4 linked regions of the Drosophila melanogaster genome follow. Changing the gene in region 1 together with any one later gene gives a genetic interaction. Each region holds a gene or a part of one and is shown in the gene's direction. Other genes may lie near its edges. The genes, in order: ac, Hip1, hry and fru.

Region 1 (3,592 bases):
TTCGTCCTTTCATCGTCCGGAGATCGGTAATCTCTGGATGGCAATTTGATGGCCATGAACAGTTGACAGTTGACTTTTTATTTATTCAGCAGCAACATTTAATTCAATGGCACCTAGGCGTAGGCTCTACAGTTCTAAGCTCCCAATTTTGAAGACCCTAATAAACATGAGTACATACTTTGTACATACTTTTCATTTATCGGCTAGAATACCTGTACGATCAACATTGGTACTGAAATGTACGGAAGCTGTCCTGTAATCGAGGCCTTACTGTGTCGCAAGCATGCCGCTTTAAGAAGTGTGGAATAAATGAAACAACGTCAAGTAATCGGCAGACCGAGTCAATATTAATGACGACTTCATCTTTATTCGGTTGATACGCCATATATTCAGATCTCAGTTCTTCCCCCCTTAAGTTTATCCCGTCACGATTTTTCGGTTTTCTGTCGCAGGGTCTTAGTAACATTTATTGTACTATTTAGTCGTTATCAAGCAGAAAAGCTCAAGAAGAGCACTTGTGGCGCTAAGCGATATTCAAAGCAAAAAATAATAATAAAATTGCAAATTCATAAACCTGGTTGACACTGAATACCTTGTCTCAATGCTTCGCGGCAAATTTATATTACATCAACACGGATTTTGCAAGGTCGACCGGATATGTTTGATTTTATTAGCCTCTGGACATCTGGTATGTCTGTGCTTAGATGCCCTGTGATGTCCTTTTCACATGTAATGCTATGCAATCCCCCGGGGCTACAGCAACGAAGTGTTAAACGAGGCTCAGTGTGAGTTAGTGCCAATACAAATCTATTTCGGCACGGTTTCCTAGCGTGCAACCAGAATTCTGACAATGGTTTTAAGAAATAATGGGGACCTCCTAAATGCTTTCAAAATGCTTTCGGCTGAGAGGAACAACAACTGATACGTTGGGCATAAAGGCCCCGGGGCATTAGAAGTGTTAATAGAAAAGTGCCTCCGGCTGATCAGGTTTCGTTGCAGGACCGAATGGATCGCCGCCTGAGGTGTTGATGAGCTGGCCTTGAAAATTCCTACGACTTTGGATTCGAGCGACAATGGTCTAGTGTTTAAGATAATGTCCGAATGATCCAGGGATCGGAAGGTCATCAGTACATAAAATAAATTAAATTAAATGTATTAACATAAAATTAAAGATTTTTTAAAAGTCTAAAATACCTAGCCTTGTTAATTAAAGATTATTTTTTCGTAAACACTTTTGGTAGTGTATAAATTGTAAATGTCCCCATTTTTATAATTGTAATGACAGTCTATTCCACTAATTTTGTTGTATTTTGTTAGTTATACAAATTGGATGGCCACTTTCAATAGGAGATACAGCTTTTTACTTCGGAGGTGTTTTTACTTGGCTCTGATGTCTGGACCTTGTTGCCTTTTTAAACCGGTTGGCAGCCGGCACGCGACAGGGCCAGGTTTTCGTTTGGGGACGACAGGCAGCTGAAAATGAGCAAAAACACTCAGAAACTCTTCCCACTCGACAACGGGAACACTCAGGTCACCAACAGCTGCGTTTTACAGAGAGAACGAGAGATAATATTACTACCTCTCTATTAAAATCAGAGAAAACACTCATCTCAAGAGACGATCCTTCAGTGATGATGCTGTTGCACCTTTTCCAGGGGCAGGTAGGTAGTCACGCAGGTGGGATCCCTAGGCCCTGATACCTATAAATAGCCTGAACGGAACGGGGAAGGGCATCAGAACAGAGCCAGCGCTGAAGCAAGGAGCATCGTCACACAATAACGTTATACTATCTCTTAAAATGGCTTTGGGCAGCGAAAATCACTCTGTTTTCAACGACGACGAGGAGTCATCTTCGGCCTTTAATGGACCCTCTGTTATCCGGAGAAATGCCCGGGAACGCAACCGCGTAAAGCAGGTCAACAATGGCTTCAGCCAACTACGACAACATATCCCTGCGGCCGTAATAGCCGATTTAAGCAATGGTCGCCGGGGAATTGGTCCCGGCGCCAATAAAAAACTGAGCAAAGTTAGCACACTGAAAATGGCAGTAGAGTACATACGGCGCTTGCAGAAAGTTCTTCATGAAAACGACCAGCAGAAACAGAAACAGTTGCATTTGCAGCAGCAACATTTGCACTTTCAGCAGCAGCAACAGCATCAACACTTATACGCCTGGCACCAAGAGTTGCAGTTGCAATCTCCAACTGGCAGCACAAGTTCCTGCAACAGCATTAGCTCTTATTGCAAGCCAGCAACATCGACGATTCCGGGAGCAACACCTCCTAACAATTTTCATACCAAGTTGGAAGCCAGTTTTGAAGACTACCGTAACAATTCCTGCAGTTCTGGTACTGAAGATGAGGACATCCTCGACTATATATCACTCTGGCAGGACGACCTGTAAAAAAACAGATCAAATCTTCAGCTATTGCTAGTCGCACCCAACCATAACACACATCAAACCATTGATTGGCCAACAAGTATTACCTCAGCCACAAAGTATTTATATTCCCTAGAACTACCTTTTTGCCTTATAAATTAGTATTTAAGGTTTTATATAGTTTCTAAGGATAGTTTCTAATGGAAGACAATTTATATTTAAGTTTTTTTTTATAGCATACATTGAGGACATTAAACTGATATATATAAAATTTTAAATGAGTTTTTATTGTAAACAAAATTAAACGGTAATTAAAGTGAAACAAATTTATGTACAAAAGGAGTAAAATTCAGAAAAGTTTTAATGAACAAATGCTTTATGAATATGGGCGTAGCAATGTTTTGATACAAACTTGATCCTGTCCTGTATACCACAGGACACGCTTCCTTTTACCTGGTACATTCCTTTAAACGATCCTAGTATACGCTTTATTCGGGGTAAGCCCGAAAAAAGTATTCGAAACTGTAACCGTTAAGTATTTACAGATCACTAGCCAATGAAGATAAATTACAATAACATTTTGTAAACACTTTTGATCGAAAACGCCGATTTGCATAAATAAAGTTGGATTGAGTAGGGTGAAAAAGGCAAAATATTTACCTGCTGCATTTTTGCATATGAACCGGTCAAGGTAATAAGATCCTGAGAATTCACAATTCCGGAGAGATCGATCGATCGATCGATGAATGAACTAATTTTGAGTTATTCCCGCAATGCAGCCGAAACAAGCGAAAAAACAACGGTCGGCAATTGTTCAGATCGCCCCCGACAACGTTCAGAAAAATGAAAATAAGATCTGCTCAGGCATTCTGCACCGGAAGCCGCCGCGATGAAGCTGCTGCAAAAAAAACTCACGCAAGATACATATACTCTAAAAACAAAAGAAACATGGTTCATGGGTCTTTTCGGCAAATTCTTCACCATATTAGATCACTACATCACACACCAATCTATTCATTAGCAACAATAAAACACTAATAGAAATTGATAATTTGTATACCTAGTTCTTGTCTATTAATCATAAATATTATACTTTTACATGAACCTGAGTCGTGGAAGGTATACTTTTTAATGAACGTAAGCCGTGGCATATGTATCGAATTATTATTTCCGGCCTTTTCTTGTTTTTGCATTGCACATATATATATTAAA
Region 2 (7,758 bases), on another chromosome or scaffold:
AACGAATACAGCAGAGCAATCTATTGAAAGGAGAAATAGGAATCTGCAGAATCATCCAGGCGTTTCTGATTCTTTGAGTAACAATCCACCATCCTCAGAAAATAGACGAAAAGCCCCATCCCAAACATCTTACCCAGTACTTAGACGTATTCAAAGAAATGATTCAAACAATTCGCAAGGCGGAAGATTCATTTCGGCCAGCAGCCAATATCCTGACCAGCACAGACAAGATGAATACCTAGCTTGTGATAGAAATAATAGTGACCAAAGCCATCGCGATAGTCATCAAAACGAGGACGGGTCGCATAATTCAGCTATGGTTGGAGCTTCTGGGTATTCTACTGACTTAACTTGGACAGATCCACCTCCGAACTCCCAATTACTAGCTCCCAATACATCGACTGACGTGGAAACACTGGAAACGGTAACCCTAATGCAACCTCGAAAACTTCGTAGTTGTGAAAGTGCTGGGATCAGAAACCAGGCAAATATCAATGGGAACACCGTTCTTATAGAGACAAGAACTCCCTGTAACAGGGAAATTCTACTCCAGACCTGTGGACGACCGCCCTGTAACTCGTGTCCTTATCAATACACGGGTCTTCCTCCGAGTCTCCATCAAGGATTTACGAAGCCACCGGATCATATGCTACAACCGCAGATCTCTGTGAGTGCTCCACAAAATGTCACTCCTTTCGATGAAGGGTACCTTATAGATCCGCGGGATCAGTGGATGCCCACTAAGTCACCAGCTTCAGCACCAGCCGTGCAGCATCAATTTCAAATGAAGGAACAATGTCAGCCGGATCATGGATCCTATCATCATTTTCAGGAATCTGTACATACTTCAGACCCAAGTTCCTCTCAGGCCAGAAACCCTGACTACAATCCTCAACTAAAAGAGAACATTCGAATGCTTCCAGATGGATTCTATGAACGCACCGTGAATAAGTATAATATAACACGCATGGATTCCAACTTCCAGCCACCGGAATTTTCACTGCAGCCAAATTTTGTTCACGGAGAACAGCATCCTACTTTCAGACACCACGCTTGTCCTTATAGCAATCAATATCATCATCCGCAACTGATGATGACATCCGTTCCAGATCCCAATCGACGTTACATTCCACCACAAAACCAATACCCAGCCGAGATGTTTTGGCCACAGCAAAATGTACATTTGGATTACTATGATCAATCGGAATACCAAATTTAATCCAAACAGTTGGAAGAATACATTAAATTAAAATTACTTTAAAAACAAATTAAAATTGTCGTTCTTTTATTTAAAGTAAAAATATGGTAGCAGATCTATAAATATCGAACAAAATCTATCTTTTTAGAAAATCAGTACACAAAAATTTCAAAAACACATTCTAAAGCTTTTTTTTAAACCATCGTATAAAATCAAATTAAATTAAATTTTTAACTTAACTGAAGTTTTATTGAAAGCGTTCGATGTTATAATTTAAATATTGGTTCATTTAAGTGTATTTCAATTCAAATATCCTTCGATTTAATGGAAAAAAATAAAAATTTGCAAAACATTTTTTTTCGCGCTCAAAATGGTGATGCAAGAAGTTGATGACTATCGAAACGAATCGATAGGGTAAAGCCCGCATATCGGAACACCGCCCAGCTCTATTAACTTTTATCGATAAAGGAAAACAACATTTGTTTATATGACTAATTTACTCTTACACTCATTGTTTCATACACGCACACGATCGGAATCCGAATGAATACGAACGCGACCAATACGAAAACAATGGCCAACATTGTTGATAAGATAAGATAACTCCCGTTTCCAATGTCTTTGCTGTCTTTGCTCTAATGCACATATATCGCGCTGCGAATGATTCGAATTTGTTCAGCAAGTACGCCAAGAATTGTCAGTAAACAATGGCAACTCACGCCGAAAAGGAGTTCTACCACCTGGTACGTAAGCCCAAAGGAAAGCCAAGAAAACCGCCAAGAATACCCACAGCAGATTATAGGCACACGGATGTTGTCATATCATGTGCATAGTGTAAATACCTAAATGTTTATGCACACAACTACAGGCGCGCCGCTCAAATATGCATAAACATTTCACTTAAGAAGTCAGCCTTGAACCAGATTATATGGAACAGCTCGAAATATCATCAGCTTTTCACACGACTTGCAACACCACAGAGACTACACTACATGCTAATCCCAAGTTTCTCCGCTTCGGATGACCCAGAAAATTAGAAACTGCAATGAATGCTATGCGGACTACATCCACTTTGATCAATTGTTCAATGTGCACACAAAGGCCTTTCAAATTTTTTGATTATCAACCCAAATTCGGCACGATAAGAAGTGAAATCCAGTATTTAGATTACCTTCTGTTATCATAAATTCATATCAAACACATGGTGTAGGTGTTTGGAATCTTATTTTTAAAAGCATCGAAATGTTTGCACTTCCAAACTAAATAGTCGATCAGTGAGTCACCCCCTTTAGATCGAATTCCACTAAAAAGTATAAAACTATAGATATCGTCCGCCAAAATCCGTCCATATCTTATAAGCTGAGTCAGTCACTTCTTCGAAAGTGTACAACAATAAAAAGCCATTTAAACTATAATATTTACATTTCATTTCAGAACGTCAGCGTGTCCAAAGCTTTAAATGGCCTGGAAGCGCCACTCAAAACCAAACATGCCCGCTCCATTATTATTATGATACACAAGGCCAAAGAGGCCAAAACATTCTGGATGATCATCTCCCGGCAGCCTTTGATGCAGAGTAGATTTACTGCCTGGAAGTTTTCGCATCTGCTGCACAAGGTCCTGCGAGAGGGTCATGAAAGTGCCATCCGCCACTCGCAGAGCCACAAGAAGATGATACTGGAGGTGGGAAAAATGTGGGGCCTGCTGCAGGACGATATTGGATGCTGCATACAGGCGTATAGTAAGCTCTTGGCCACAAAATTAAACTTCCACGACAAAAATCGAATGTTTCCCGGCACCCTGAACATTTCGTTCACGGAACTCTTCATTGCTGTGGATAGGGATTTAAATTATTGGTAAGTAAAAATAGATATATATTACTTTCAAACTACTGAGACAGAACCATTGATTCCAGTTTTCAACTGTGCGTGGAAATTTTCGACTACTTGGAGGATATAATTGCGCTGCAATTGACGATATTTTCATCTATGGAAAAGTACAGAATGTCGTCGATGACACCGCAGGGACAATGTAGATTAGCGCCAATAGTTTGCCTTATCCAGGATTCCAATGCGTTGTACGATTTAAGCGTTCGGTTAATGTTTAAACTACACGATGGTGTACCATACGACGTTGTTTCCGGACACAGAGATCGCTTTCACGGTCTGTTTTTAAAGTTGAAGAGTTTTTACAACAACGTGCGACCGCTTCAGTATTTCAAGGACCTAATAACAATCCCGGAATTGCCGGACTCAAGTCCTAACTTCAAGTCCCAAAACGATTTCACCAGTTATGTACCGCCAGTGGTTCACGTTCCCCAGGAGCCCGATCCGGTTGTTGAAGACCTTGTGGATACCAACAATCACGAGCTGGAAGCCTTCAGTCAAGCCCAGCAGCAGCTTAGCATGTTGGAGGGTATAATCAGCGAGAAAGAGGCTAGCATTGAGGAGCTGTCATTCAAATTGGACGCAATGCAAAAAAATTTCGACGCACTGCAGCAAAGCTACAGACACGACGTTCAGGAGTTGCAACAGAACAATACTGTGCTGTCAAATGATCTGGTCTTGGCGAGAGAAATGTGTGCCACCTTTCGGATGCAAAATGACGATCTTGAGATGCAACTGAATCAGAACCCAATTCTTTTACGTAATTAAATGCTTATTAAACATAATGAAGTCATATAAAAATACCTTGTATTTCAGAAAAAGCTATGGAGGAAGAAGAAAAGCACAAGTTGTCGTCGGAAAAGTTTAATAAACTTAAAACTCTATACACAAAGATTCGAGATGAGCACATTCAGCTGCTGAGAGAGGTATGCAGAAACACAATATTTTCTATTTCCTATACTAATATTCATTCATATACTTTTATATCAGCAAAGTGATTGCAACAAGTCCTTAAATAAAGAGAAACAAGTAAACTCACAACTATTGTTGGAAACTAAGGAGCTTACCAATGAAATTTCCAAAATTAAAGTAAACGTAGAGGAAAAAGAGAAAACAAACTTGATTCTGCAAAAGCAAATCGAAGAGCACAAGGAGAAAATAGCACATCTTGAAGCAGTCAAAAACGAGATGAAGGAGAAATTCGATGATGTGGTTAAACAAAAGGAAATTCAGGAACTCGATATTATTTCCACTTCCGAAAACCTGAGGCTAAATTGCCTCAAAGTCGAAGAGCTTAATGGAAACCTCAATGACACCCTGGAAAAACTGTCGAACGCCGAAAGCCAAATAAATGCAAAGACCGAGGATATCGAGAAAATGCTAAAAGCTTTTGAAGCGGAAAAGGCATTGCTCTTAACTCAGATTGAACAACAGAGTGTTGAAAGTAAAAGCCATAGTGAAGCTCAAAACGCTCAATTGCAAGAAATAATGGATAACTTGGAACAAAAGGATAAAGAGTTCAATGAAGTTAAGCTTCAGCTGTCCAGCGCAGAAAGCCAAATCAGCTTAAAGGCATTGGAAATTCAAAACAATTTAAAGGCATTTGAAGCGGAAAAATCAGTGCTATTAACTAAAATAGAGCAGTTAGGTATAGAGCATAAAAACAACAGCGAAGCACAAAATGCTCAATTGCAGCTAACTTTAAACAACTTGGAGCAAAATGAGAGTGCATTACAGGTAAATGAAACCAATTTAAATCAAGAAAATTATAGAAACTGCTTTTCTTTCTTCAGCAAACCCAGGAAATTGTGAATCAATTGAGGCAGGAAAATGCTTCAGCGGGTCAGCGTAACGAGGATTTGCAAAGCAAACTCTCGCTTACTGAGGTAAAACTAACCCAAGCAACACAGCAAATTGATGCCGTGACAAGTTCGTACCAAATCTGTAGTACCGATTTGAGTGAACTCAGAAAATTGGTGATCAAGACTGTAAAGGAAATATGCAATTCGAAGTTGAGCGGATCGGAACAACAGCCTTTGGATGCGGTGCCAAACATAATACGCGAAATGGAGACCATTTTAAATAAGTTCAATAACGCATCGGCTATAAACTATGTTGCTTCAACCGAAGGACTGCAAAATGTTATGTATCTGGGTTATGTATTTATAAAACTATACGATCAATGTGATGTTATCTACAAAACAACAACTGCAATTGAGACAGGTCAGGGTAAGTTGATAACACTAAAAACATAACCACCTACAGCAAACTAACTTTGTATTACTTATTTTGCAGAAATTTTCTCAAAAACAAATTTGTTATGTACCGATATCTGTCAATTGTTCCAATACTTATTAAATAATGAAACAAAAGAACCCGAGAGACAGAAAACAATCACTGATATACAAACAAAGCTGAGAGATATTGAAAAGCTGATTGAGAAAATAAAGGCATCATTTGAACAGAAGATTGATTTAGATAAGCTGCTCGAAATCGAGCTTCGCGAGATGGACGCTGCGATTGATGATGCAGCCTCCAAAATTACAGATCTACTGGCAAAGGCTCGAGAGAAGGACAACCAAACCAATTTAGAGGTAAACGGAAAAATAGTGGATGCGTGTACCACCTTGATGGAATGTGTCAAAGCTCTAATCCAAAAATCTCGTCTCCTGCAACACGAAATCGTGGCTTCCCAAAAAGGTAGCTAACAATATTTTTTAATTCAATGAAGTTACTGACAAGTAATTACTCTTTCAGGAAATGCGAGTGCTAATGAGTTTTATAGGCGGAACAGTCAGTGGTCAGATGGTTTGATATCCGCCTCGAAAAGTGTGGCGAAGGCAGCCAACTATCTGGTGGAAGCTGCAAACAAGGCTATTGAAAGTGAATCTGGCAAGAACTTTGAACTCATTGTGGCTGCCCAAGAAATTGCTGCCTGCACGACCCAAATGGTTATTGCGAGCAAAGTCAAGGCTGAACGTAATAGTCAAAAGCTAACCGACCTCACAAAAGCCTCGCGAAGCGTAACGCAGGCAACAGGAACTCTGGTCGCCACCGTGAAGGATTGCAACTCCCAGCTGGAGCAGCAGAGTGAAATAGAACTTTCTAAGCTAACGCCATCACAGATTAAAACGATGGAAATGGAAATTCATGTTAAAGTACTCGAAATCGAACAAGCTCTCCAAATGCAACGACTAAAACTCTCATCGTTTCGTAAGGAGCATTACAAGAATGCCGATTATTAAATACCATATTTATTAATGTTACTAACTTTACAAACATTCTTTTTTGTATTAATGCCCGTCATGACAAATAATATATCTACACAATATTTACACTGCGGTCATTTTATCCTACAATGAATCCGTAATATCTGTTTATAGTATTCCGTGTCGATCGCTTTTTGATCCTTGATTTATATCACACCATAGTATGTGGGTTCATTATTTCTTAAATGTTTATTTTACTTACTACTTGAAATTAAAATAGCACTTATTGCCAAAGAAAATAAAATGTAACATTTGTTGTCAAAAGGTTTTTGTTTATTATCACGAACCGACCTATTGCATTTTATAAAACGGCATGTTCACGTTCATCAAAGACACTTTTAGCGTAGTTTATCTAAAAGAAAAAGACAAGTATGGAATATATGTGATAATCATTTCAAAATTTGTAAAAGTAAATAAATTATATGATAAACAAAGTCTGCGCTTCAACAATAATAGTTTATTATTGAAAGATAATTTCTACTAATTTCTGCTAAGATGATTTCTACTTACGCATCTTGATGCTGCCTCAGCACATTCCTCGGAACGACACCGTATCCTGGGCCTGGTAATCTTTGGAAGATTGGTTGATATCTCGATGTAGTGACTGGCCGACGCCCTGCTGCTCGTGGTTGGCGTTGTGCCGGCATTCGTTACCACTGGATGGCACGAAAGAATCTCACTAACATGACATTCAAACATAATGGTTGGATTGGCGTCGCTTAGTGAAAAGATTCGTACGTATTCTGTAGAAACCAGCAAGCGCAATCTAGCCTCCTTGTCGCTCCATAGATTGGGTTCATATGAAATTATCTTCTCCGAAAAGTTCTTTTGATTGATTAGGTACAGATATTGCTGCCCCTTGCTTTGGCGATTGGAATACAATGGCAAAAGACCACCAGGAGCACCAGTCACACATCTGGGTAGCCTTTTCCTTTCCGGAGCGTTTCTGTGACTATCTCGGCTTGTTTCACGAACGGCACTGGCAGTTTCCGATGCCAGGTCCAATACACCAATGATCGGTTTGGTGACAGTGCCTACTAAGCCCTTTCCCAATCCACTGAGAAAGCCAGGAACGCCATCGGAAGTGGCACCATCGTAAGTGTGTCTTACAATACTCGTTACTCCGCCCAGCAGTCCAAATCCGAGACCCTTCAGACCCGCTGCAAGGTGACCGCCGGATGTATTGGACTGCAGTTCCAGAATGCGTTGCCTCGTCTCATTGTCGTGATCATCCAGCACAACTTTTCCCAGGCTATCGGACAGCGTTTCTGTTAGCTTCGCCGTCGAATTCGATATGCCATGCGTAACATTTTTCACCAAACTCTTGACGGAGCCCTCAAAAATCAGTCCGGATACTCCTTCCGAAAGATCGTTGGCAAATCCCAATGGATTACCAAGGAAATCG
Region 3 (6,064 bases), on another chromosome or scaffold:
TTTTTGAGTATTTTCACGAATCGATAGATATGCATATTTGTAAGACGTGATTGTTGATTAAGTTCAATTTCATTTAATTATTAAGCAGAAATTAAGTGTAGTAAAATCAAATTAACTTCTAAACGTTTTTTTACTCATCTTCATTAGAGTCAACTTTATTAGTTTCTATAAAAACACTGCCAGGTGGTTTCGCTATAAAAAAAATATTGTAAACACCCGTTTTTAGCCAACTTGAATGTTTAAAGCCTGACTGACTCATTCCAATGTAACTTTGTTGACGATTCGTGGTTTTGGTATAACTTCACTAATCAGTGGTCAGAGTCCAAGTCAGGCTTTAAAAATATTTCCCAAGAACAAACGTCAAAGATAACGTAATTTCCTTTTATAGATCGTGTAACCTAAATATGTGTCATCTACCTTTACTGAGCTCAGCCTGGTTAAACTAATTACATGGTTATTACCATTTCTTAAAACTTAACCCATATTTTGTAAATAATAGATGGCTTAAGCAGTTATTTAAAATATCACTTTCGGTTGTAACGAAATGTGTGTGACGCACTTTGGCTTTTTACTACCAAATAAACAATATAATTTAAGCTTCATTTTCACTGTAATATTCCCAGTTTTCACTGCAATGCCCCTCTTCTCATTCTGCTAATGAATGGTTAGTTTTCTGATGCCCGACTATTCCGCGTGTCGCGTAATTATAGTCAACCTTCGATAAATCATTACTCCAAAACAAAACAACAAATAATATATGAAAAACGTGAAAATCCAACGCTGCACGTAGAAGCCATCAAGCTGAATCTAAGCGTCCGGCGGAGCACGTGTGATCCACGCAGCCTTGTCCACAGCGATTTCCATTTCATTTAGCCCGTTGGCGGCTATCGATCAAAAGCCAAAAGGGCGACCTTCACTTAATTGAGGCGTACGGCATGCTGAATGAGTCGGTTGTACAGACTGGTCTGGAAAATGCTAGGGGGATAACTATAGCCACCACCCACTGCCCGATCGCCCAACCACCCAACCACCCAACCACCCACTTCCGCCTAGCGTGCGCACAACCTTGTGATCTTGTTTACTGTTTAGCGACCCCCGAGCCGCAGATACACAGTACACAGCACAAAAAACCGAACCTGTCGCACTGGGGTGGCGTCATATAGCCAGCTATTTTCACCTTCTATGGGACGTCGTCGCGTTGGCCGCATGAATCAGCAAACCACGAACGGCGAGCCACCAGAAACCACCGCAGAAGCAGCAACAACACCAACACCACCGCGACCATCACCAACAGCACAGCCAGAAACACAGCCTCTTGTGAATCCCTCAGTTAGCAGAGCCCAGCAGAGTCAAGCCAAACCGATCGCTGATCGACCGACCGACCGACGATCACCAATGGGGGTTTCGCAGTGTGATTTCCAAAAAGGAAGAAATGCCCATTCCCGCGAGCCACGGGGGCGTATGAGTAACGCGGTGTGTACTTTAGGTACCGCTCACAAGCGTGAGCACGCACACACACACACACACACTGAAGCGAGCAGGTAGCGCATAATGTATACCCCTAGGTAGCCGCAATGCCAGTGCAATTGTATTGGTGCGGTCGTGTGGCTCGCGCTCGCGTCTCGCAGCGGCGATTTAGCCTACGAACCTGTCGATCAATCGTCAGTCTTCCGCCGAGAGCCCAGCGATAAGGTAGTCCCGCTACGCTCCGCAACATCCAGACGCAGTAAAGCAAATACTTATATATATATATACATACATATATATAGCGCAACCATCCGAAAGCCGAACGATCGATCTTCTGCTTCGTGCCGAGTCGTTTCGGTCTTTTAATCGCACTGCAGCCAGAACCTGCTGCTCATTCGCCTGCCGTATTTCGTAGCGTGCGGTTCTATCGCTCCGCTTTGATAAACCGAATCGAAATCTAGAGAACCCCCCCAGACACAATACCATTTTACGTGCTTCTCTGCGACGCTGCGCGAAAGTGAAACCACCAAGTGAACTTGAAAAAAAAAAAAACTGACAACTTGAGTTATTCTAAAAAAAGCAAAAAAGCAGTGAACTTATATTGCAAAGAGCAGCAAATTCAGATTTGCTGCCAAGTGAAAACCAAACTGTGCCTCAAACTCAACAAACAATATCTGACCGAAATGGTTACCGGCGTAACAGCAGCCAACATGACCAACGTTCTGGGCACCGCCGTTGTGCCGGCCCAGCTCAAGGAGACGCCGCTCAAAAGTGACCGTCGGGTAAGTTTCTTTCGAGAAAAATAAGACTCGAAAAAAAAAATCCAAAGCCAAAAACAAAAAACCCCGTCAATGGATTAAATCAGAACCTCTAGTTCCCCGAAATCTGTGGATTAACTGAAGCGAACCAAACCGAGAATTCCCCTAATTGAGAGCCACCCACTTCGAGCTCAAGTTGATTTCCATTCGCGACTGTGGGCGACTGGCCCCATCAATCCCGCTGCCCAAATGCATTTCCTTTTTAGCCATCTCCCACATGGCTGGCTGGGAATAAAAATACGAAAAAAGAAAAACACTCTGAGCCAGACCAAAAAAAGGCCGCAACTGCCGTCGGCGCGCCAACACAAAGCGAATTTATCTCGCGTCGCGTTGGTGGCATTTACTATATGGCATATGGCATACTACTCCGACTACACACACGCTCCATCCATTCATGAGTGCCGCCCAAAATTGGCTGGCGTAGCTGCCCACCAGCTCCCCAGATTCGGACTCGGATTCGGATTTGGCTGCCACTTGGCGCGTGCGTCGCGTGGTGGCTGCAATTGTCGGTCATCAGCCGCCGTTTTTGGCCATTCGAACGGCACCGGTTCAATGAGTTGGCCAGAAAAAAAAAAACTGACTTCATGCGAGTCCAAATTTGGCAACTTGTGCTCCCTAGATAATAATGTACCTAGTTATGGCATCTTCGAATTTCCCGCTCTGACCTTGTCACATTCTCTTTATTTTTGCTCATACCTGGTTGGTTTATTTATAGCCACTGCCTGTAATTTATAACCGCCAAACTATTTTTAAATAAATGCCTCGGCCGAGTGGCGCTATAAATAGAGCACGCGCCGTGCGACTAAATTTGGCCGCCAGCCAGTCAATCCGCTCCCCAACCTACGCCGCCTCCTCCTTGATCTCCTCCAATCCAATTGAAGACCCATGCAGCTTCCTCTATTTTTGGGTCGTTGCATGAGGTCAAATTAGCCGTGCAAAAGCCGTGACTAATCGATGTTTTTTTTTTCCATTTCTTGCCTCTTGCAGTCGAACAAGCCCATCATGGAGAAACGCCGACGTGCCCGTATTAACAACTGTCTCAATGAACTCAAGACTCTGATTCTGGATGCCACCAAAAAAGACGTAAGTATCTGACAAAAATATAAGTTTAAAGCCACAAATAAAATAAAAAAAACTACATATTTGAAATTATCTCAAATATTTTTTAAAAGTTTAAATCATTGACTAATTTCCAAATTATTTTCTCTCTCTACTTTTAGCCGGCTCGCCACTCCAAATTGGAAAAGGCCGACATTCTGGAGAAGACAGTAAAGCATCTGCAGGAGCTGCAGCGCCAGCAGGCAGCCATGCAGCAGGCCGCCGATCCCAAGATTGTGAACAAATTCAAGGCCGGATTCGCCGACTGTGTGAACGAGGTTAGCCGCTTTCCCGGCATCGAGCCCGCCCAGCGTCGTCGCCTGCTACAGCACCTGAGCAACTGCATCAATGGCGTTAAGACAGAGCTGCACCAGCAGCAGCGCCAGCAGCAACAGCAGTCCATCCACGCCCAGATGCTGCCCTCGCCGCCCAGCTCGCCGGAGCAGGATAGCCAGCAGGGAGCAGCGGCACCCTACCTCTTTGGTATCCAGCAGACGGCCAGCGGTTACTTTCTGCCCAATGGCATGCAGGTGATCCCCACCAAGCTGCCCAACGGTAGCATTGCCCTCGTGTTGCCCCAGAGCCTGCCCCAGCAGCAGCAGCAACAGTTGCTGCAGCACCAACAGCAGCAGCAGCAACTCGCCGTCGCAGCAGCAGCAGCGGCCGCAGCAGCAGCACAACAGCAACCCATGTTGGTCAGCATGCCCCAGCGTACAGCCAGCACCGGATCCGCCAGCTCGCACTCCTCCGCCGGATACGAGTCGGCGCCCGGAAGCAGCAGCAGCTGTAGCTACGCCCCGCCCAGTCCGGCCAACTCTAGCTACGAGCCCATGGACATCAAGCCATCGGTCATCCAGCGCGTGCCAATGGAGCAGCAGCCCCTGTCGCTGGTGATCAAGAAGCAGATCAAGGAGGAGGAGCAGCCCTGGCGGCCCTGGTAGAGGGTGTCTGCATATGCATATCATATAGCATAGCCACCCCTATCGAATCTCCCGCTTTTAAGACTGACCCCCCACAACTCATCCAACTCGCACACATGCGCAGGCGTTGTGCGCATGCGCGTAGACATTTCACATCATTCGCCGGGATTGCGCAAATGTTGCTTTGAAGTGTTGCAAACATGCGAATCCTAAACTCGGTTCACAACTTCGTTGGCTTAGTTTCCTGGCTTATATCCTGGAAACCCGTCGACGAGGCTAAGGACCTTCATCAGACGCACCCACACACAAACACACACACGCAAACGTTGTTATAATTTATTTATTATTATATTATGTAATCGATTTGAGAGAACGGTATTCTACCAGGACATCGCCAAACTACCTCAGTCCAAGTACTTGGTGTTGAATTGCCTCATGTATCATGTATTACTCTTTGAATAACAGCAAATCAGCAAAAGTCTTCCAAACACAGAAAATGAAAATGCGAAAATAAGCACCTGAAAAGCTGAAATACTTTTTATGAAAAAGATAAACGCAAAAGCATAACTCTTACACATAGTCGTACATCTCCATTTAAGTATAGGTTTTGTACCATAGCCAGCTAAGCCGCTTAGGGTTTCTCTCGCTCTTAAGTCTAATCAAAGAATAATTATATTTATAAAACACACAAATCTATTCGTAAGGCCACGTGATATAGTGAACATAATGAGCTTCTAAGAAAACAAAACAAGAATTTGATGCAAGCAAAAGCAAAAAAATCAACAAGAAAGAAAAAACAAACAAACAACACACTAAAAAGAAATAAATTTAAAAGATTCTACTAAAAAATCAAATACGCAAAACGGATTTGTTATTGTGGTTGGGGTATCTTTTCCTGGGTTTTTTTTTCATTCGGGTGAAAGTCCCATTATGGTTCTTTTTTTTGTTTTAGAGGTCAAACGCTTTGAGTGACAGGAAACTTATCGAGCCCCCCGACTTATCGTAGCAAATTTCGACGCTAATTATTATAATGCCAATGGTGAAATTCATTTTGCTGGAGAGGATCGGCGGGGATTTCGACGATAATACAACTACGTTTTAAGGGGCTCGATTATGTCCGTTTCTGCTAATATAATCGGCACGACGAGTTGAAGGTTTTTCTGTGGCCAGACCGTAACGGATATAGATATATGTGCATCATAAACATTATATAGGAATGCCTTGATTTTCACACATCCGTTCGATAGGCCAGTAATTCGAAACAGTTGTGACGAAATAAATACTTATTATAATCCTTTGATCGATAATATTTTAAAATATTTTGCAATTTAATCATTGGTTATTCCAATCGAAGTGATCAGCAAAAGTTAAGGCGCACAAGGGTATATTTTAAAATCAAGGCAGGTTAGCTCTGATTGCAATAAATCCGAAATTCCATTAGCTAACGATTCAGCAAAATACCGAATTTCTTAGGGATATGGAATGTCAAGAAGTTGGCCACTATAGCCGCAGGAAAGTCGATCCGGTTCGCGTTAGTTGGAACTAAATCGGATATCGCCATGGATCATGGATGACCGATAGCTACGGATACATTTGGAAATTCCCTGGAACTAACCACTCGAATCCAGTGATATATACAAGTTTATCAACCATTAGGGAAATCTCTTACCCAGTAGCAACCGAGTCACGCCCTTCAATTCTCATAGTGCCCCCACTCTAATCTAAGCAAATCCCTGGGCCATTAATCGTCATGCTCGTGAC
Region 4 (5,239 bases), on another chromosome or scaffold:
TTTAACCTATGCCATTACACACATTTCATTTTTGAAAAATATTTCGAAAAACAGAAATTCTAATTTTAATTAATTCCAGCACAATTTAGGTCGATTTGTTTATTTATGTATACTTAGTCTACGAACTGTTTCAAGTTAATGATTAAAAAAGAAATTTGTAGTTGCTTCAAAGAAAAAGGATTGATGAAAGAATAAAGAGGTCAAACCCGGATGAATGGCAAACAAAAATGAATAAATAATATTTTGATTACGCTTCATTGCTGGCTAATTTCAAATCGGTGATTCCCCTCGTCTGTCGTTTAGCCCCCGAAATGCATGCCACATTGGGTGGCAGTTAAGTCCGGCTCCTTGGCAATTAAAACGAACAATGCATTTTCGCAGTTTTCATTCGCCAAAAGCGAGGAACCGACCAAAATACCCGATCTTTCATATAGGACAGTCACATAGGGCCAGCACTATATTCCAATTCGCGTAGGTGGAGCACCGACTTATGTAATACTCGATTTTTTGCTGCTCGTGCTATATTTGTTTTTGTTTATTTTCGTTTATTGTTGTTGTTGCGATGGGCTGGGGAAATGCGCAAAAGAGACGGATAGTTGCAACATGTTCGATTGCAGGGCGTTGGAAAAAAGTTAACTGCTGTAAACAGCGCAGGCCTTACAGAGAGAGAAAATGGGGGCAACTCGAAATGAGAGCGAGCGCGAGTCCTGGCGAGAGGAGACTTCGGCAAATGCCGGCCACGTGACATTGTTGCACTTCCTGGCCGCGCGCTTGTGTGTGTGTGTGTGTGTGTGTGTGTGGGCGCTTGATAAGCTTGCAACGAAGCTATTAATCAAAACAGAATCAAAAAATCCGCTTCGCTGTGTGCGTGCGAGAGAGAAACACGTGCCGGCCCAGTTAACAGAGGTCCTTTAGCAGCGCTCTGCTAACAACGCCGGTTGGCAACAGCAAACGTTGGTTGGCTTGGTTGGTGGAAAACTTTCCACTCGGCCTCTCTAATAATAGATTTTATCATTGCCGAGTAAACCGAGTCGGTGTATTTACTTCGTGTAATTAATGCCTGGCTGCTTTGCGATTTTAAGGTGGTTTAATCGGACGATTAGGTGGCTAGACGCTGGTATCAATTGGCCATTTCGCAATTTGCATTTTGTGGTAATCCATTTTCATATTGGTTGTCATTCCCGTAGGGGCAATGAGGCCGTATCGTGCCCCCTTCTAGCGGCGTATTAAGTCGATTGCAAGAGTCTCAAATGTATTCCGGCTTTAGTGCTCAGCTTGTTTGTCCAACACTTGGCACGCACACGCAGCTCCGCAGGTACAGTGTACACCCTGTAATCGGGATCGTAGCGAAAGCATATATTTAATACATTTTTGATAAATTGTTTGTTAGTTTTCCCTACTCATCAATTATTAACGTTAAGTTGCCTACTTATGTTTGCTATTCGTATTGAAATCATATTATATTCAATTAATATTTACTTAAAGTAAACATTGCCTTTTTAAAAATATATATATTTTCGTTTTCTAAAGCTAGTTAATTGAGTACCCACTGTATGTGGCAGTGTCCTTGTACTTTTACATAATAAATCAAACCCCACCGAAAGGAACGGAAATGAAAGTAAGGCAAGGAAGAGGAAGGAAACGAAAAGAAATGCCACTGCGGAAAGCCAAGAAAAGAAAAGTGCATTTGCACGCTAACAGGAGCTGTTACCATTTCACTGATAAGAGCCGGCAAGCGCGAACAGCTGTTCGAGAAAATCCTCGGAGAGAAAGCAGCCAAGGATATCGAGAGCATTTCTCTTCGCTGTAAACGGGCACTGTAAAGGCGGCCAGTTGTTGACTGGGAACTAAGCCAATTGCACAATGTGGGCCGAAGTTGATGTCGTGTTGCTGCTGTTGCTGCTGCTGCTGCTGCTGCTGTGTGTGTTGCAACACGAGCAACTACAAGTGCAACTACACAACCCTTCGACTGCAAGGACTTCGGCAGCAACGAGCATGTATATGTATTCCACCGAACCCACCATGTACTGCGTTTATGTGTTGCTGCTGCTTTTGCCTTTGACGCTGCTGCTGTCGCCGTGCTGCGCCTGCTGCTGCTGCGTTTCGTTGGTGCTGCGACAGCAGAGTCGTTGCAACAATCGCAGCTTGCACATCCAGCAGCAGTCAGTTGGACGCGGCGGCTCCTTCAGCAAGGACGCACAGCTCACACAATCCCTTCGAAGGAAATCAGCAGCCGACATACCGAACGACCTGCCACAACATTCCAATTCAAATCCAATCCAATCCAGACTTTGAAGTCCTGTAAAGCGTTTTACATTCCGCTTACATAAATGCTAGAGCGCTGTAAAAATCGGCGCTAGAAACGCCAATTAGCCAAACATGTTAGCCATGTTTTAGTCGGTCCTTTCGCGCTTGACTTGTTTTGCAACTGTGTGCGTACGTTTGAGTGTGCGAGTGCCGCCCGATTTTGTTTGTCCTTTTTTTTTCTGTTGGTGTCTCACCGAGTGCCGTTTTAAGCCAAGATACTACAGACATACTAGCGACTAGCTAATACATATTAACTTGTTGTGCCAGCGTTTTGTGTGTGCCAGTCAGCCTCTGCTGAGTGCATTTTCATTAAAGTCAACAAGTTGCAGCCGCATAAGGTCAAATAAAAGCAGGTGAGTCTGTGTTCCCGGCCAACAAGAGCCAGGTATTCCTATGTAAAGTTACTTAAAGTGCAGGTGATATGCTCTTCTGAGAGCAGATTTTATGTTGTTCAAATTGTATTAAGTGGTTTTGTGGAATACGTTAAGGGCACAGGTACAAAACCAATATTAAAAAAAAAACATTTGTTTGCTCATTTTCTTTGTATAAATATTTATTTTAACTAAGTCTTTTGAAAATTTTATAATGTGGGTTCTAAAAATATTTAAAGTGCATTCTCACTATGTGCTATCTATTATGAAGTACGTGTTTATCAATTAGGTTTTATATTTAAAAATGTTAGATAGGTTCGAAAACGTTGGGGTTTCCAAGTTTTAATATAAAATAAATATATTAAAATATTTGAGTGAGTATCCAAGCAGTTAATATCTATGGTACTGCAAGAAAATTCACTACGTTAACACATTTAAAAAATATTCATCCATTCACATCAGTACAGATGTATAAAATAATTAATAACAGGTCAGACAAATATATGGTCCTTATTTACCTTTAATAATTACAAAGAATTTTTAGAAAATTAAATCATAGAATCTACTGACAGAATTAAGATATACCTAAATTAAATTACAATAAATTATTTTTCTAAACCACATTGAGGTGTTTTGCAAGAATACTATACTGCTAAGAAACATTCGGTTCAGTTATAACAACAAAATCTTCGAAAACTTTTAACTAGCAAATTAAATTACAACAAAACCTAAAGTTGGCTGAGCACAATTCAAATTTCAGTTTCTTATATTTTATTAGCAAATATCAGTTTACTTCATCTGCATTTGATTCAGTTTATTCAGAAGTTCAGCAGACCAAGGCCAATTGCAAACTGGCTAATCCGTGTTACCAATTTATATTCAATAATATATTTGAGTACTCTTACATCTCCCCCGGCCAACATAAATTTGGTTTTTAAAGGCACCCAAAAATATTTTGACAAATTATGAGGTAGGAATGTGTAGTAAATATTTCCAGAGATTAAATGACAAGTCTAAAGGGAAAATATATCTACGCTCTTAATGATCCTTTGTAATAACTACAAATCTGTGGGCCGGGTGCATCCTGGCCGTGTCCTGGCCATGTCCTCAATTTCGTTGAGTTACAAAAGGTTTAAGTAAGTAAGCAAAACGGTAGGAATCGAGTAATCGCTCTCAGGGGCATAGTTTAATATTGGATTTGTAATGGAAATCAATATTGCCCGAGGAAAATTTATGCAGAGGCCAACAAAGAAAGCAAACCATTCAAATTGAACCGGGCCAATAAAATTGCAGTGCGAAGTTTGCGTCCGAGTTTGATTTGAGTTGTGCTGAATCGTCAGCCTTGGCATTGCCAATTTCATTAGGGGCCATAAAGGGAAAGAGTCCGCTTGTAATTGCAATTAGTTTTATCGTAACTTGCAGTTAAATAATCAAAACATTTTCCCAAGCTTCCGTCCCCATCGTCCGTCCACCGAAAACTCTTTGTAATGCAAAACTTTTTAATCCGACGCCTTGGTTTGTTTACACGAACTGCCAGCGCCCCGCCCACAGCGCCCCCGATCCCTATCCACACTCCAGACAATAACAACAACGTTGACAATAAAAACAGGATTGACAGGATACACCCCAGGAAGTCGATACGCTTAATACCCTTGCACGAAAAGTGCCTAAAAATAGATGGGAATCTATTTCGGTAGAAATTAGGATGATTTAAGAAAGTTACTCTTATTATATGAGTTAAAATAAAGTAAAAAGCAGACCATATCAACTTTAAATTAAAAAATGTGAACTCAAACGATGCAAGAGTATATAATATTTCAGTTAATCTTATTATGAAACAGAAAATCAAGTTAGAGCTTGTAAACTAAATGGATTAGGAAAAAATCGGGAGTATATATATTAATTTTTATAATGATTTGGCAAAATTATATTTTAAATTTCATTAGATAAATAGATACATCTCAAAGGATTTCCTTCGTAGAAAAAAATTGCTTGAAGGAAATGCTGAATAAACTCTTTAAATATTTTTAAAGTCGCATTTGTTTAATACAACTCCTATACAGTTGAGCATATTCTGAATAGCACTTACAAAAAAGTGCTTACCAAAGTTACTAGTTTTACTTCATAAAACAGTACTAGTGCGGCTGCATTTTCCTGAGAGGCTTGTAAAGTTCTTGTTGCAGCAGTGCGACTCCCTTTCAGGGTATGAAAATAAGAAAAATTTGCATATTTACACAAGACAATTTACACACTCTCCCAGTCGGCTGACTGAGTGACTGAGTGAAGGGCCCCTGCGAGGCAGGGACGCAGTTTTCCAGCGGGGCGCGGGAATGCGAGATTGAGTGGGTGGATTGAGGTTATTTTGTAAATTGTGTGTAAGCCGAACTGCTGCGACTGCAGCCTGATGAACAGCCAGTGCCAGAACCGTTACAAAAGTCCAACAAGTTGGGAGGTGGGAAAAGTCGGGGGAAGCACGGGAAAATATGGGTAAAATATGGGTGGAAGTAAAAGGGGGGGGGGTGGCTTGGGGCCAAAGGGCGGTCTGTAACGGATGACAAGGA

The links.
Region 2: of ac (region 1) and Hip1, changing one suppresses a phenotype caused by changing the other (phenotypic suppression), as found in Drosophila melanogaster (one study listed by BioGRID).
Region 3: of ac (region 1) and hry, changing one suppresses a phenotype caused by changing the other (phenotypic suppression), as found in Drosophila melanogaster (3 studies listed by BioGRID).
Region 4: of ac (region 1) and fru, changing one enhances a phenotype caused by changing the other (phenotypic enhancement), as found in Drosophila melanogaster (one study listed by BioGRID).

Annotation. Positions count from the first base shown.
Region 1 is NC_004354.4:368,296-371,887, forward strand, and holds ac (achaete), read left to right. Parts: upstream 1-1,735; 5' UTR 1,736-1,798; coding exon 1,799-2,404; 3' UTR 2,405-2,652; downstream 2,653-3,592. UniProt on the Drosophila melanogaster protein: AS-C proteins are involved in the determination of the neuronal precursors in the peripheral nervous system and the central nervous system.
Region 2 is NT_037436.4:12,767,458-12,775,215, reverse strand, and holds Hip1 (huntingtin interacting protein 1), read left to right. Parts: upstream 1-1,642; 5' UTR 1,643-1,905; coding exon 1,906-1,941; intron 1,942-1,996; exon of another isoform or gene 1,997-2,472; intron 2,473-2,632; coding exon 2,633-3,054; intron 3,055-3,113; coding exon 3,114-3,844; intron 3,845-3,900; coding exon 3,901-4,010; intron 4,011-4,074; coding exon 4,075-4,821; intron 4,822-4,877; coding exon 4,878-5,313; intron 5,314-5,379; coding exon 5,380-5,784; intron 5,785-5,841; coding exon 5,842-6,329; 3' UTR 6,330-6,654; coding exon of another isoform or gene 6,655-6,705; 3' UTR 6,706-6,784; downstream 6,785-7,758. Other genes in the region: CG32106 (uncharacterized protein), read left to right, coding at 1-1,219; Vps13D (vacuolar protein sorting 13D), read right to left, coding at 6,655-6,705, 6,864-7,758.
Region 3 is NT_037436.4:8,674,100-8,680,163, forward strand, and holds hry (hairy), read left to right. Parts: upstream 1-1,659; 5' UTR 1,660-2,150; coding exon 2,151-2,249; intron 2,250-3,272; coding exon 3,273-3,368; intron 3,369-3,505; coding exon 3,506-4,324; 3' UTR 4,325-5,154; downstream 5,155-6,064. UniProt on the Drosophila melanogaster protein: Pair-rule protein that regulates embryonic segmentation and adult bristle patterning. Transcriptional repressor of genes that require a bHLH protein for their transcription (e.g. ftz).
Region 4 is NT_033777.3:18,542,534-18,547,772, reverse strand, and holds the start of fru (fruitless), read left to right. Parts: upstream 1-2,186; 5' UTR 2,187-2,660; intron 2,661-5,239. UniProt on the Drosophila melanogaster protein: Probably acts as a transcriptional regulator.